2 linked regions of the Caenorhabditis elegans genome follow. The protein of the gene in region 1 interacts with the protein of each later gene in a pairwise test. Each region holds a gene or a part of one and is shown on either strand. Other genes may lie near its edges.

Evidence for each region. Proteins that work in one complex are often made in the same cells at the same time.
Region 2: the proteins of abl-1 (region 1) and rsy-1 interact in a two-hybrid assay, tested with the Caenorhabditis elegans proteins (2 studies listed by BioGRID).

What each region holds. Positions count from the first base shown.
Region 1 is NC_003284.9:10,620,719-10,626,452, forward strand, and holds the start of abl-1 (Tyrosine-protein kinase abl-1), read right to left. Parts: upstream 3,472-5,734; 5' UTR 3,429-3,471; coding exon 3,427-3,428; intron 3,317-3,426; coding exon 3,261-3,316; intron 1,990-3,260; exon of another isoform or gene 1,865-1,989; intron 1-1,864. UniProt on the Caenorhabditis elegans protein: Functions downstream of migratory protein mig-13 and is involved in Q neuroblast migration during larval development.
Region 2 is NC_003279.8:11,215,711-11,224,486, reverse strand, and holds rsy-1 (Arginine/serine-rich protein PNISR), read left to right. Parts: upstream 1-2,491; 5' UTR 2,492-2,511; coding exon 2,512-2,557; intron 2,558-2,698; coding exon 2,699-3,726; intron 3,727-5,235; coding exon 5,236-5,416; intron 5,417-6,345; coding exon 6,346-6,594; intron 6,595-7,848; coding exon 7,849-8,114; 3' UTR 8,115-8,310; downstream 8,311-8,776. Other genes in the region: Y53H1A.2 (C2H2-type domain-containing protein), read right to left, coding at 514-585, 648-797, 1,514-1,846, 1,898-1,978, 2,080-2,088.

The DNA.
Region 1 (5,734 bases):
ACTATTTGAAACAGTAATTTGATTTGTGATTAATTATTTCGAAGAGTTAAAATGTGATTTTAATGTGTTATCAAATATGGATATATTGTAAGTAACCAGTAGGATTCTTCGGATGATTTTTCAAAAATACATATTTGATATATACCGTATTTCTTCTATTAATATGGCCTCCCTATTAGACTTGCACTCCCTATTAGTATTGCTCCTTGAACACCCTCCGAAAATTAGTATTGCACTCCCTATTAGTGTTGCACTCCCTAATAGTATTGCGTCTACTTTTTTTTTGGTACAGACCCACCTCACTAATTTTGAGATTTTAACAACATTTTTTGCCTACTTTGCAACAATTTGTGGTAAAATTTTTATGAAATTGAAGTTATTGTACCTTTTTGTTGCAATTACAATCAAATTTTCACTTTCACACAAGGTTCGAGTTTTTTCAGAAAAAAAATCAGAAAGCTCAAAGTCAGAAAAATTTTCTGAAAATTAATATTGCACTCCCTAATAGTCTTGCACTCCCTATTAGTATTGCAAGCGGGAAGACCATCGAACAATAGTATTGCAGTCATATTAATAGAAGAAATACGGTATACAATTTTCAAAACTTCGAAACGAGGTTTATATTAGGTCTCCAAATAAGTTCCGGGTCAAAAATCATAACTTTGTTCGCTGTGTATCGATTTTTATGAAACTTTGGGAATTTATGTTATCAACCATGTTCTTTCATTTGACAATAGTCGCAAAAATTTTTGTACACCTCAAGTGTCCTAACTCGGAGCCAATTTTTCCAGGAATTTTTCCTATCTCGCTTCTTTTAACCTTTGAATTGAGGTTTGTGTGCGGATTTTGCTTTGCTTAAAATACATTATTAGAAAACGACAAAAGTTTAGAAAAAAATCCGTCCAAAAAATTTTTTTTAAATATATAATAATCGTTTTAGTTTGAAATTTGAATCTCGAGAAATATTCAAAAAACTCAAAAATTATCCGAAAAAATTATATTTTCTATTAACATTTTGGTGTATCGAAATAAATTGATATGTTTTGTATGTGTAAAAATAGTTCACGCTTGTTTACATCATTTTTGTAGGGAAAATCTAGAACTTTCGACAAAATTTTTTTTGAACATTTTTTGACGACCAACCAAAAAAAAATTTTTTGGACGGATTTTTTTCTAAAATTTTGTCGTTTTCTAATAATGTATTTTAAGCAAGGCGAAATCCGCACACAAACCTCAATTCAAAGGTCTTCTTTTAGAAGCGAGATAGGAAAAATGCCTGAAAAAATTGGCTCCGAGTTAGGACACTTGGGGTGGACAAAAAATTTTGTGACTGATGTCAAATGAAAGATCATTGTTGATAACATGAATTCCCAAAGTTTCATAAAAATCGATACACAGAGAACAAAGTTATGATTTTTGACCCGGAACTTATTTGGAGACCTAATAGATTTTTCACTTAAAAAATACATGTAAGAACTGTGATTTGATAAGCAAACACATACACAAATCCGGAACCGGAAGATTTTAAAATTAGTATTCTCTTTTCTATTTCATAAAACTTTTATAGTTTTGTGTTTAATCACGTTATGAAAAAGATCAATGATCTGAACTTCGTCAAATCTGATTTAGGATATATTTTGGTTGTTCAGCTCGGTTTGTCTGATGTAAATTATTTTTGAAAATTCTACTGAAACACCTAACTGATTTTATTTTTTCAGATAACAAAAAAAGCAGAGACAATGCCGTTTCTTCGAGAGTAACACAAAATTAGCAAAACTATTCAATATTGTCACATGCCGTGTCAATGTCTAGGGAATTGTAAAAATGGGTGTGGACTTGCGAACGTTTATATTCATTGTATACGCGTCGCACCAAATCCATCATAAAAATTGGATAGAAAGAATGAAGAACAGGAGGTTGGGTGTCCCCCGTGGTTCTCAGTCCCACACAGAAAGGAAAATGTGCCAGAGCACATTTTCTAATTGGTCAACGAGAAGAAGGGCGATTCGTCGTACTACTAACACAAGTCCAGCTGCTTCTCTGACCCAGGGAGAAAAAAGATGGGGGGAAATGGTAAATCTAGTTAAAACTGGAGTGAAGTGAATAAAATGCGAATAGTCAATAGGGGTCGAGCATTTATAACTGCGAATATGGCATTGAAACCTATTGAATTGGAATAACAAGTTGGAGAAGCGACGTTTTGCCGGGAGGCGGCAAAGCGGGAAAGGGGAGAGGAACTGGATTTATTCCATTTTTTTCTATTCTTCCAAACTTCCTTTCCCAAATAAATTATGCCTAAACCTTTTAAAAGTGTATAATTTTATAAATATTGTAGTTTGTAAAAAATTATGATCTAATTATTCTAGATGAGTAGAGAAGATACACTTGATTGGATAGTCTCCCATATTTGGATCACGCATGCGTTGTCCTCAAACTAGGGACCGGGAGTTGACGGACGAGGGAAGGGAGATGTGACCTCTTGGTTTGTCTGCGTCCCGTCTTCCACTCATGCTCTCTTTCAATCCACCATACCAGCTATTACTATCTCTACTCTCGTTTTCTTCCGCGTCTCGTTTACTTGTGACTTTAGAAGAGGATCTCTCACCCTCCCCACACCCTCTCCGGCATATATCTACAGCGAACGGGAATACGAAGGGAACCGAACACTTGGAGGATTAGAGAACCTAACCGCATAAAGCATTAAGAGCGGTTCTGAATCTGTCATCTACACTCGAAGGGCCTTATTGTGGGCAGACAATTTCGAATGAGATTGTGACAATTCATCGAAAAGTAGAAGGAACGTTAAAAACAATACATAAAACTTAACATACTGTTTTTCATGTTTTAACATGAACTTTTTTTTTTTGAGAAACTGAGAAATTACAAAATATTAGTTTTATAATACTTTACGTATAATTTATTTTACAATTTCGCCTTATTTTCTTTCAAAACTGAGAGCAGCTTCCTTTTTTTGAAAAATAGAAAAACAAAAGCTGATACTTCAGAAACAATCGTAAACTTTATCAGTACTTTTTTAATGAGTTTCAAACAATAATCATTTTTTTAGGAAAACTTTTGAATCAACAAATATTCATTAGTTTCGTCAAGTTAATATTTTTCAAGGCTGAATTTTTCCAAATGGTATGAAATTATACCATTCAATTTTTTTTTTGAAATCCAATGCCAAACTCAAATGTTGAAATTATATTTGTTTTTAGTTGAAAAGTAATTTTCACAATTTTCAAGCGCAAAATGCTTACCACATGTGAAGAGTTCATTGTCATTGATTTCTTTCCCAGTACTATGTGAATGACCCCTGAAAAACATTTTCTTCTTTATTAGTATATGTTGTTCGTAAAATTAAAATAAACAAAATACCATGGCCTTATAGTTTTTGAGAAGAATTATGAAATGAACTGAACTCACATTTTTGTTAAGTCCTACATGGGAGAATGTTTTGATGTTTTCAAAGTTAGAAAAGCCTGAAAATTATGAAGTTTGGCTTGAATTAAAAAAAAGAAATAAAAAGAAAAAATCGAAGAAGACAAAAAAAAAAGAACATGGAGGAAAAAAGAAAGGACGCGCAATTGGTGTGAAGGTATGTGTCGAGTACCCGGCTGCCCTCTCTTTTCTCATAACCCATCCAGTGACCAGCAGAGCGCGCTTGCATACTTCTCACTCGTTGTTCACTGCTTATTACTGCGCACTTGGTTCAACACTAACGCCTATTCGCTAGTCAAACAATAACAACAGTTCCTGTCAGATAAATAGTACTAAGCTAGAGGAGATTGGAAACGCGGAGTAGAGACTACAAATACTTTGAACTGATTGAACTTATATGCATACGAAATGAATGGATAATGTTTAAACTGGATATAATTAGTTTTTAGTTGTTTTACAAAATTGTGGTGATTTAATAATTAAAAAAAAGTTATGCTATTCGGATATTTGTGTATTCGCAAAAACCATAGTTTTAAACCAATTAACAAATTGTCAATTACAAATCTAAAATCTAACAATTATTGACAAGACCATACATATTAATAAACAAAAAAGTTTTGCATTGTAAAACCAATCAAAACTTGTCGCCGTTCCTTTTTCGCTATGTTTTATACAAATCTGCGATACGAATTCGTATCGGTTGAAAGTGTGGGGATGAAGTGTGAAATGAAACAAAAAGTGTGATCACAAAGAATGGGACGAGAGGCCAGGAGGTACTCAAAACCCCCGCCAATTTTGTCCCATAAAAATTGGAGCGACGAAAGAGTATGGGAATGCAGTTTGAAATAGAAAAGTTGAACAATAGGTAGTATTCAGATTGACGCATTTTTTAAATGGAAATCAAAACTAAAAGAATCAAAATTTTGAAGAAACAGTACGGTATGCCTCTGAGGGTTGGTTGAGTGAATTCTAACTCATTAGAAAATTGCTGTCCTACTATTTTGAAAACAATAAAAGGGCTCCTTAGACTAAAATATGCTGAAAAGTACCTATCAAGTTTTAAATAAGTTTAAAAATTTTTGGAGATTTGCATTGTTTCACGGACTATATAATTGTACATGAAGCACTAATTTTAAATTGTGTGTTTAAGAATAATTTGTTAATTGAGAACAAATTCCATACTTGAAACACTCAATAAGAACGCACTCTAATGCATACAATAATTCTTTAAAAAAACTCCCAAGTTTTAATAATTGCTGACGAAGATGTTTTGGAAAACGTGATCTCCAAGTAATGAATGCTTGGCAATTACAAATAACTTTTTGAAATCAAAAGATTATATGTGGTTGTATTTCTCCATAAAAAAGTGGAATTGTGTGTAGGGTTTTCAAAAGATGAAAATAGGTTTGTTGTTATAACATGCATATGTAATATGACTATGAAACTGTGCTATTTTGCTAGTGTTAGTGATTTTGATGGTGACAAAGTGTTCTATTTTCGATAATTTTTTTTATTTTTCGTCTTTTCTCCTCGTTTAATTGTTGGAAATTACACATTTACATATTAAGTCTACTAAAATTCTTTCACATTTACATATTAAGTCTACTAAAATTTCTCCCATCCTATTTTTATTTAAACCAGTCGTTAAAAAAAATAGCTAAAATAAATCCAAATACGAAAAAAAGTTGAAAGTAAACTTTTGTAGAGTTTTTTGCGTGTCGAAGAACTTTGAAAATAGTAAAGTTTTGTGAAATGCGCAGAACAAAAACTGAAACTAAATGGGAACACACAAAAACACAAGAGAAGACGAACATCGACAAAAAAGTTGGTAGTAGCTGCTGGTTGGCGAGGAGAGGATAATATCCCGAACACGCCAATAGAATGAAGAGGGACAAAAAAGAACACAACAAGATGTCGATGCAAAGGACGAATTATTCCTTTTTTCCTTCCATTTTTGCCATTGCGTTCATTCGAAACAACTTCTGGAAAGGAGATTCCTAACAAAGTCAGGATTGAAAAGAACGACGTAGTACATATCTAGTGAATTTATTGGTTTTTTAAAATTGCATACACATATACCTTAATTTTTTTTATTATAAAACCCAAAAACGTCGCCTCTCATTTAAATTCTGTTTTCCAGTTACAATGTTTTTTTTAATTGAAAAAGAGTGAAATTACCGATATTTTAATTTTTGAAAACTTTTTGAAAGTTTTTATTTAAAATTAATTTTTGAGACGCACATCTGTGTGTTATTTTTTCTATTTTTGTATAGTTCATTTTCATCAGTATTTT
Region 2 (8,776 bases), on another chromosome or scaffold:
AATATTCATGATTTCTGATTAAAAACGGGATTTTTTTTGGTTTTTCGTGAAATTTTTCACATTTTTTAATTTTCAAATGAATTTTTGTTTTTTTTTTTGTTAAAATTTTCACAAAAAACTCTGAAAAAAGATTTTAGCTTCAAAATTCAACAAAAAAACTTGGTTGAGGCGGTGTCAGTTTGTAGTTTATAGCCTCTCAGCCTCAACCAATATTTTGGTTGCGGCTCACACACTACAAACTACACATTTTGGGTGAAAAAAAAATGAAGGTATTCGCATAAAAATGGGCAATTTTTGAGGAAAAAACTGAGAAAATCGTTGAAAAATCAATATAAATTGCAATTAAAATGAATTTTGTCAATCAAAAACTGAATAAAAATTTAAATATGCACCGAGAAAATCAATGAAATGAGCGTATGAATAAGGCCACTGGGAAATCGAGTTAGTGTCAGAAATAGTACACAGTAAAAAAATGTAATTTACAATATAACAATCAAAAAAAATTTTAAAAATTCATGAATCCGGGTCCAAAATCTCTGTTTTCACATTAATCTTCGGCGGAAACTCGTCACAATTCGGAGTTTTCTGCAACAAAAAAAAATTAATTTTTTGTCAAATTTTCAGTGAAAATTCGATTTTTTTGCTACCTTCCAGTGTCTCCGGAGACTATCTGGGCTCTGATAGCAATATCCACATTTTTGACATTTATAGGCGTCCGGATTGCGGTGTACAACGATATGATGCTTGAGACGTCGTTCCGATGTGTACTTTTTCGGGCATTCCGGGCAATTGTGCTTCTGAAAATTCGAAATTGTTGGGCGAAATCCATGAAATTGTAGTTTTTAGTCATTTTTATAAGAAAAATCGGGAGAAAATCGGTTTTTTCGGCCGAAAATAGTTTTGGGTGAGGCTCAGGGACTACAAACTACAATTTTCTTAGCCTCAACCAGTTTTGCGTTAGTTTTTGGTGTTTTAGGATTGAAAAAGTGAGTTATAAGCTTAATACATTGCAGTTTTTAGTCATTTTCATATAAAAAAATTGCAGAAAAATCAGTTTTTTGGTCGAAAATGTTTTGGGTGAGGCTAACAGACTACAAACTACAATTTTTCTAGCCTCAACCAATTTTTTTCGTAAAAATTGAAGGTTATTATCGTAAAAAGTTAATAAATATCATGAAATAGCCGTTTTTACTCATTTTTATACAAAAAATTGGGGAAAACCGTTTTTTTTTTGGTCGAAAATGTTTTGGGTGAGGCTAACAGACTACAAACTACAATTTTTTTAGCCTCAACGAATTTTTTAATACGATTTTCAACTGAAAATTAGGTTTTTTAATAGTATAAATTAATTTTTAAGCGAAAATTGAATAAAATCCTATTTAAAATGATTGCGGTTTGTAGTTTGTAGTCTGTGAGCCTCAACCAAACGAATTTTCGTCCTATTGGCTGAAATTTGATGATTTTTCATGTTTTCAGGGCAAAAATTGTTAGAATCGGGGTTTTTTATCAGTACCATTTCACTTTGGCCATCCTCATCATCTTCGTGATCCTCTATTTCTTCCGGATGCTCAGATTTTGGAGAAATTACTCGATTTTCCACGATTTCTTGTGAAAATTCTGGATTTCTAGGATGAAAATGTGATAAATTCGAATAATGAGCTTGTTGCACAGATTGCGGGGGCGAATATTGATTTTTCGGTGAACAATTTTGAGGCACATTTTGCGAATTATTGTCGTAGACCAGCTCATATTCGTCGGTTTTCTGCTCCGCAAACATATTTCTCATTGTAGTGAGCACTTTTGGTCCATCTTCGTCTGATGTGTAGTTTGAGGAACAGGAAATATCCTGAAAAATTGGAAAAAAAAAGTGATTTTGCAGAAATTTTCGGGGAAAAACCTCTATTCCACTTTGTAAATTGAAGTCATCGCCGAAAAGCATGTAGTTTGGACAGGAAAAATCCTGTTTTCTTTCTGTCATCTGAAAAAAAAGCAAATTTAAATTTAAATTATTCAAAAAACAACTATTATCGTTGAAAATTGCTGCTAAAAATTAAATTAAATTAAATTAAATTAACCTACCGTAGCCATTAAAGGCGCATGCTGTGTTCCCTCGAATGGGTTTCTACACGAAATTGGAAAACGTCGGATTTCGGCAGGAATTCTGGAATTTAAAATCACTTTTCTCCAAAAATTAAATATATCGATTCATTTTCTTCACATTACAAACAAAAAAACACGTTCAAGTATCTGAAAATCACACAGAAAGCCGCCGTCAATAAAATTCGGTGGCCGCGTGGCCGTGGACTAGGTTTCGTGTAAAGGAACGGCCATCGACATTTTTTCGATTTAATTCTATTTTAGAATATTTTCAGCGCATTTTTAAAGCTTTTAAATAGAAAATCTAGCTGAAAATTTCGAATTTTTGTTAAAAAATGCTAGTTTCCACCTTTTTCCTCCCAAAAAAAACCAATAAGATCGATATTTCCTGCAGAAAATCACAAAACGAGGGAAATGGAAGATTGGACCAACTATCATCAGGCACAGCCGGCGGAAAGTGGTATGGCGTTGTGATTTTATTGAAAAATTGAATTTAAAATCGAAAAATTTGGCAAAAAAACACGAAAAAATCGATTTTTTTCGAGATTTTCGCGAAATTTTTTTAAATTTATTTAAAAATTAATTTTCGTCTATTTTCCAGTCGACTGGGCCCAGCTGGCCCAACAATGGATGGCGATGCGCGACACAGACGATCGTCGAGCCGGAAATTCACACGATTTCGCTCAAAATCATCAGCTCCCGTGGCATCAGCCACGTCATCCGGGCCCTCCGGCTCATCAGGATTGGGGCGATTGGTCCGCGAATCGGGACGAGCAGTGGAGAGGGCCGCCTGGGCCTTCTGGGCCGTCCGGGCCCCCCGTATATCATAATCAAGGCCCGCCTCGTGGATATCCACCACCACCGCCACAGGGAGCAGACACGTGGCGTGGAGCTCCTCCACCAGCTCACCACGGACACTTTGGACCGCCTGGACATCATTTCCAAGGCCCACCACAACATTTTCCGCCAGGGCCACCAAGGCCGCACTTTCCAGGCCCCCCAGGCCCACATAGACCTCCAGAGCACTACCCAGGGCCTCCAAGACCTCAGGCTCCAGCGGCACCACCACCGAAAAGCCTATTCCCGTCGGCCCAAAAGCCTAAGCCACTTTTTGCGGCGGCTTCAAGTGCTCCAAGCTTCTTCGGAGCACCTCAACGTCCACCACCGCAGCTGCACTTTTTCCAGGAGAGCCCCTCGGTCCAGCACGATTTTCAGCAGCCCGATTTCCAGCCCGATTTCCAGCCCGAAAACTACCAAAATTCCCCGGAACCCCCGGCCCAAGCTGGCCCGAAAGGTGTGCCTCCACCGGCTCCACTAATGGCTTCAGGGCCCACAAACCCGTATGCAATGAACAAAGAGGCCCGGAAAAAACTGCCGGCCTGGATCCTGGAAGGCCTTGAAAAGGCCGAACGGGAGAAGCAAAAGCAGTGGGAAAAAGAGGAAAAGCTGAAGAAAGCGGAAGAAGAAAAAGCCCGGCGAAGAGCCGAAGCTGGAAAGAGCAAATTTGACTCTTCGTCGGATGAAGAGAGCCCGGAAAATGAGAAATTTCCTGTTGGTAATGGAAAATCTGAATATCAGGAAGATGATAATGATTCGGAAGACGATTTGGAGGAGAGACGAGAGCAATTTGTACGGGAAATTCTAAATTCCTGAAATTTCCGCAAAAAAAAACCTAAAAACTACAAAAAATTTGAGAAAAAACGAAGATATTCTAAATTTTTAGAGGAAATTTTTCAAAATTTGAGAAAAAAAACCAATTTTTTGAAAAAAAAAATCCAGCTTTGTAGTTTATAGTCTCTCAGCCTCAACCAATATTTTTGGTTGAGGCTCACACACTACAAACTACAAAAAATTTTGAGAAAAAACCAAAAATTTGTCGAAGATTTTCTGAATTTTTAGAGAAAATTGCTAAAAAAATCGAGAAAAAACCGACGAAATTTGATCAATTTTTGTTGGTTCAGGCTCATGCTCAGACACTACAAACTACAATTTTCGGGTAGCCTCACCAAAATTATATTTTGAACAAAAAAATCAATTTTACAATGAAATTTTTGTATTTCGAGGAAAAATCGTTTCTTTTTTTACTTTTATTTCAAAAAAATGTTGAAAATTTGAAAATTTTAGCCGGCTAGACTACAAACTACAGAAATTTTTTTTTTTAAATTGTATTTTCCCAAGATTTTCTGAATTTTCCAGTGTAACTCCTAAATCCTAAAAATAATTCCTATAAAACACCGAGTTTTTGATAAAATTTCAAAAAATCTATTGGTTGAGGCTATGACAATTTGTAGTTTGTAGCCTCTCAGCCTCAACCAATATTTTGGTTGAGACTCACACACTACAAACTACAATTTTCGGGTAGCCTCACCAAAATTAAATTTTGAAAAAAAAATAAATTTTTCAATACAACTTTTGAATTTCGGCAAAAAAATCGTTTTTTTTTTCATTTTTAATTCAAAAAAGTTTAAAATTTTAGACATTTTAGTAGACATTGGCGTTTTTGATGCCAGCTAGACTACAAACTACATGAATTTAAAAAAAAAAAACAATTTTCCCTAGGTTTTCTCAATTTTTCAGCGTAAACCATAAAAATTCCAATAAAAAACCCAGTTTTTGATAAAATTTACAAAAAAAACATTGTTGAGGCTATATGACAATTTGTAGTTTGTAGTCTCAACCAATTCAAAAATTGGTCGAGGCTCAGACTACAAACTACAATTTTTAAGACAGCCTCACAGAAATTTAAATTTTCAAAAATTCAATTTTTTCAAGATTTTTTAAAAAATTTTCTAAAAAGTTTTGAAATTCGGGTAAAAAAAATTTTTTTGTTTCAAAAATTTTATAATTTTGATGCCCGCTAGACTACAAACTACAAAAATTTCGAAAACAAACCTTAAAATCTTCCCAAGATTTTCAGAATTTTTCAGTCAAAACCTTTAAAAATGCAATAAAAACCGAATTTTTGATAAAATTTCAAAAAATCTATTGGTTGAGGCTCGCGTTTTTGGAGGCTGTTAGACTACAAACTACAGAACTTTTGAAAAAAAAAAATTGAATTAAAAATTAAAAAAGGTCCATTAAGTGGAGAAAAACCTCTTAAAAATTTCAAAAAAAAAATTTTCGAAATTTTTTTTCCAGATACGCTGTGTGAAAACTCTAATGATGAACGTGCTCCTCGAGTCTTCGAATGACGTCATCATGCGTATAATACAAGAAGAGCTCCGTGAGCACGAAAAACTTCAATTTGAACGGAAAAAATTGGCAACTGCGCCGAAAATCATCGGCAACAGCTCAGCGTTGGCGGCTCTCGCGGCTTTTGGTATGGAGAAGCTCGCGAAAATTCGAAATTCGGAAAAAACAATTTTTTTGACCAGAAAATTCGGTTTTAAAAGTTTTTTCCAAGTTTTTAATTTAAAAAAAACCGAAAACTTTAACATTTTTGAAATTTTCTTCCAAAAAGCTATGAAAATCGTATAATTTTTCATAAAAAATTCATAAATTGTTCCAATTTTTCGACGAAATTTTTTTAAACAAAAAAAATTCGATTTTATCGAGTTTTTTGAGCTAAAATTTCAAAAAGTTTTTTAAAAATTGATTTAAAAAATTCGAAAAACGAAAATTTTCAACATTGTCTTCAAAAGTTTCACATTTTTTAAAAACTTTTTTCTAAAATTTTCGAATTTTCCATATTTTTTTTAAATTTAAAACAGTTACAATTTTGAAACAAATCGAATTTTCTGGTTGAAAAATTTGAGATTTTCCGAAAAAAAAAGTAAAATTTTTGATTTTTAAATCGAATTTTTCAAAAAAAAATAGCGAAAATTTAGATTTCCAGAAAATTTTAATTTTATATAAAAATTGTGTTCAAAAAGTTCCTGAAAAGCTCTTCTTTTTCCTAAAAATTCAAATTTTTCAGAAAAAGTTTTCAAAAAAACATTTTTTTTTTTTGGAAAAAATCGGTTTTCAGAAGCTTTTTTAATTAAATATTCGTTATAAAAAACGATTTTCGAACAATGTACCAAAAAAGAATTTTTAGTTTAAAAATTTCAATTTTTTCGATTAAAAATTCCATAAAATGTGAATTTTCAATTTCTCGAAAATTGTAAAACTAAAATTCAAATAAAAAAAGCCTTTTTTTGCAAAAAAAAAGTTGAGTTTTCAGTTAAAAAAAAAAACGTTTTTTAGAGCTAAAATGTCATATTTTTTGAAATTTTATTTCAAAAAATTCAAATTTTTCAAATTTTCCAGGAGACGGTGAGGATAGTGACAACAGCAGTGACGATGGAGTTGGCGACGACATGGAGCCACGGCAGGAGAGCAGTGGCTCGGCGGAGCTAAATGGAGCATCAGGGGCAGCAGAAGCAGGAACACCAGAAGCTGGTGGTGGAGAGTTCAAGGCTCCCGTGGGTATCCCTCGAAAGTTTAGTGTTAAGACAGATGATGTCAAACCATCAGTTAATGATGATGGTGAAGGTGTTGATGATTTACACGTTCCAGGTAAGGTAAACTAATGAAAAATATAAAAATATATTCACTTTTTGTTGAAAAAAATACCATTTTTGCTAATTTTTTCCCCGATTTTAGCGTCAAAAATGTGTTTTTCTGTAGTTTGTAGTCTATTAAAGCGCGAATTTTCAGCCAAAAAACTTCAAAAACCTACTGGAAATCCACTTTTTTGAATTAAAAATTCAAAAATTTCAGGAAAATCTGCAAAAAAAAAATGTTTTTTCAATATTTGTGTGAGGCTATGTTATTTTGTAGTTTGTAGTCTCAGCCTCAACCAATTTTTGAAATAATTGAGGCGCGCTGGAGACTACAAACTACAAGTTTTCTTCACAATTTTCACTTTTTTCCGCCAAATTTGAACTGAAATTTTTTGGGATTTTGGGACATTTGGGATTTTGGATTTTTGGGACAGAATGGTTTTGTAGTTTGTAGTCTCGGAGCGCCAATTTTCAGCCAAAAAAAATAATATTTTATTCCAAAAAACCCACTGGAATTCCACTTTTTTTGGATTAAAAATTCAGAAATTTTCGGAAAATCTGAAAAATTTTGAAAATTCAGTTAAAACCGCTTCTAGAACTCGAAAAATCTATTTTTTAAATCCAAAAAAAAATCTGAACATTCCTGAACATTTGGTGAGGCTTTGCTCATTTTGTAGTTTGTAGTCTGTGAGCCTCAACCAATTTTTGAAATAGTTGAGGCCGGAGACTACAAACTACAAGTTTTCTTCACTTTAGCAGAGATTTTTCGGGAAAATCTCACTTTTTATCTAAAAAATTTCAAAAATTCTTTTCTTTTTTCAATAAAATCTCTGAAAATCCAAATAAAAATCCAAAAAATTTTTTTTTTCTAATTTTGTAGTTTGTAGTCTGTGAGCCTCAACCAATTTTTGAATTGGTTGAGGCTACAAACTACACATATTTCCCAGCCTCAACCTAGATTTCTTCATATTTTACTCATTTTTTAAAGAATACAAATGAAAAGTGTGAATTTTTGAAATTTTCACTCGCAAACGTGTAGTTTGTAGTCAAAATATTGGGATTTTACTATTTTGGGTTAGGCTAAGCTGATTTTGTAGTTTGTAGTCTTCGGCTAAATATTTAGAAATTTCCTTTCAAAAAGTCTGTAGTTTGTAGTTTGAACCTTGATTGAGGCTGATGTGATTTTGTAGTTTGTAGTCATTCTCTAGACTACATAGAACTACACAATCTACACACAAAATTCCGGAAATAATATTCAAATTTTCAGATTCAAAAAACGGCGATAATAAAAAATCGGAAAAATCGTCGTCGGAAAAGAAGAGAGAACGAGAGATGAGAGACGATGAGAAGGAGAGAAAATCGAGTAAAAAGAGCAAAAAACGATCGAAAAGTCGTGAAAAAGAGCAATCTTCATCACGACATAATCACCGATCGAGAAGCCGATCTTCGGAACGGGATCGCCGTCGAAAACGGTCGAGAAGTTCGGAACGTCGGAGGGATCGGGGGGACAGGGATCGGCATAGTCGACGTTGATTTTTATTGATTTTAACGATAAATTATTGATTTTTCCGATTTTTACCGCCGATTTTTTCCACCAATTTCTTGCTCCAAATTCTCATTGTTCAAAGCCGCCCGTTTTTCTGGAAAACTCCCAAAAAATTATTTTTTTGTATTACCTATGATGACATTTTCCCATTGATTTTTTTTTGCTTAATGTATTTTGAAGTTTTGTTTTTTCGTTTTTGGTTTCAGCATATTTCAGAATCGCACAATAAATTCTAATTTCGCGCCTGAATTTTTGGAAAAATAACTAAAATTTGAATTTCCCGCTAAAATATTAAAAATAATTTGAAGTTCGCGCCAAATTTTTTGTTTTGAAAATTCGAATTTCCCGCTGAAATATTTAAAATTTTTGGAAAAATTACTAAAATTTGAATTCGCGCCTAAATTTTTGAAAAAAATACACATAATTTAAATTTCGCACCAATTTTTTTTTTCGAAAATTCAAATTTTTCGCAAAAATCATGGAATTTAACATTTTAATTATTCCGCCAAAATGTTTAATTTCCCTCAAAATTTGAATTCCGCGCTGAAATTTTTGAAAAATTCTATTTAAAATTAGCGCCAAGATTTTGTAAAATTTAAATTTCTCGCTAATAAATTTAAAACACATTGAAAAATTGAAGTTTGAATTT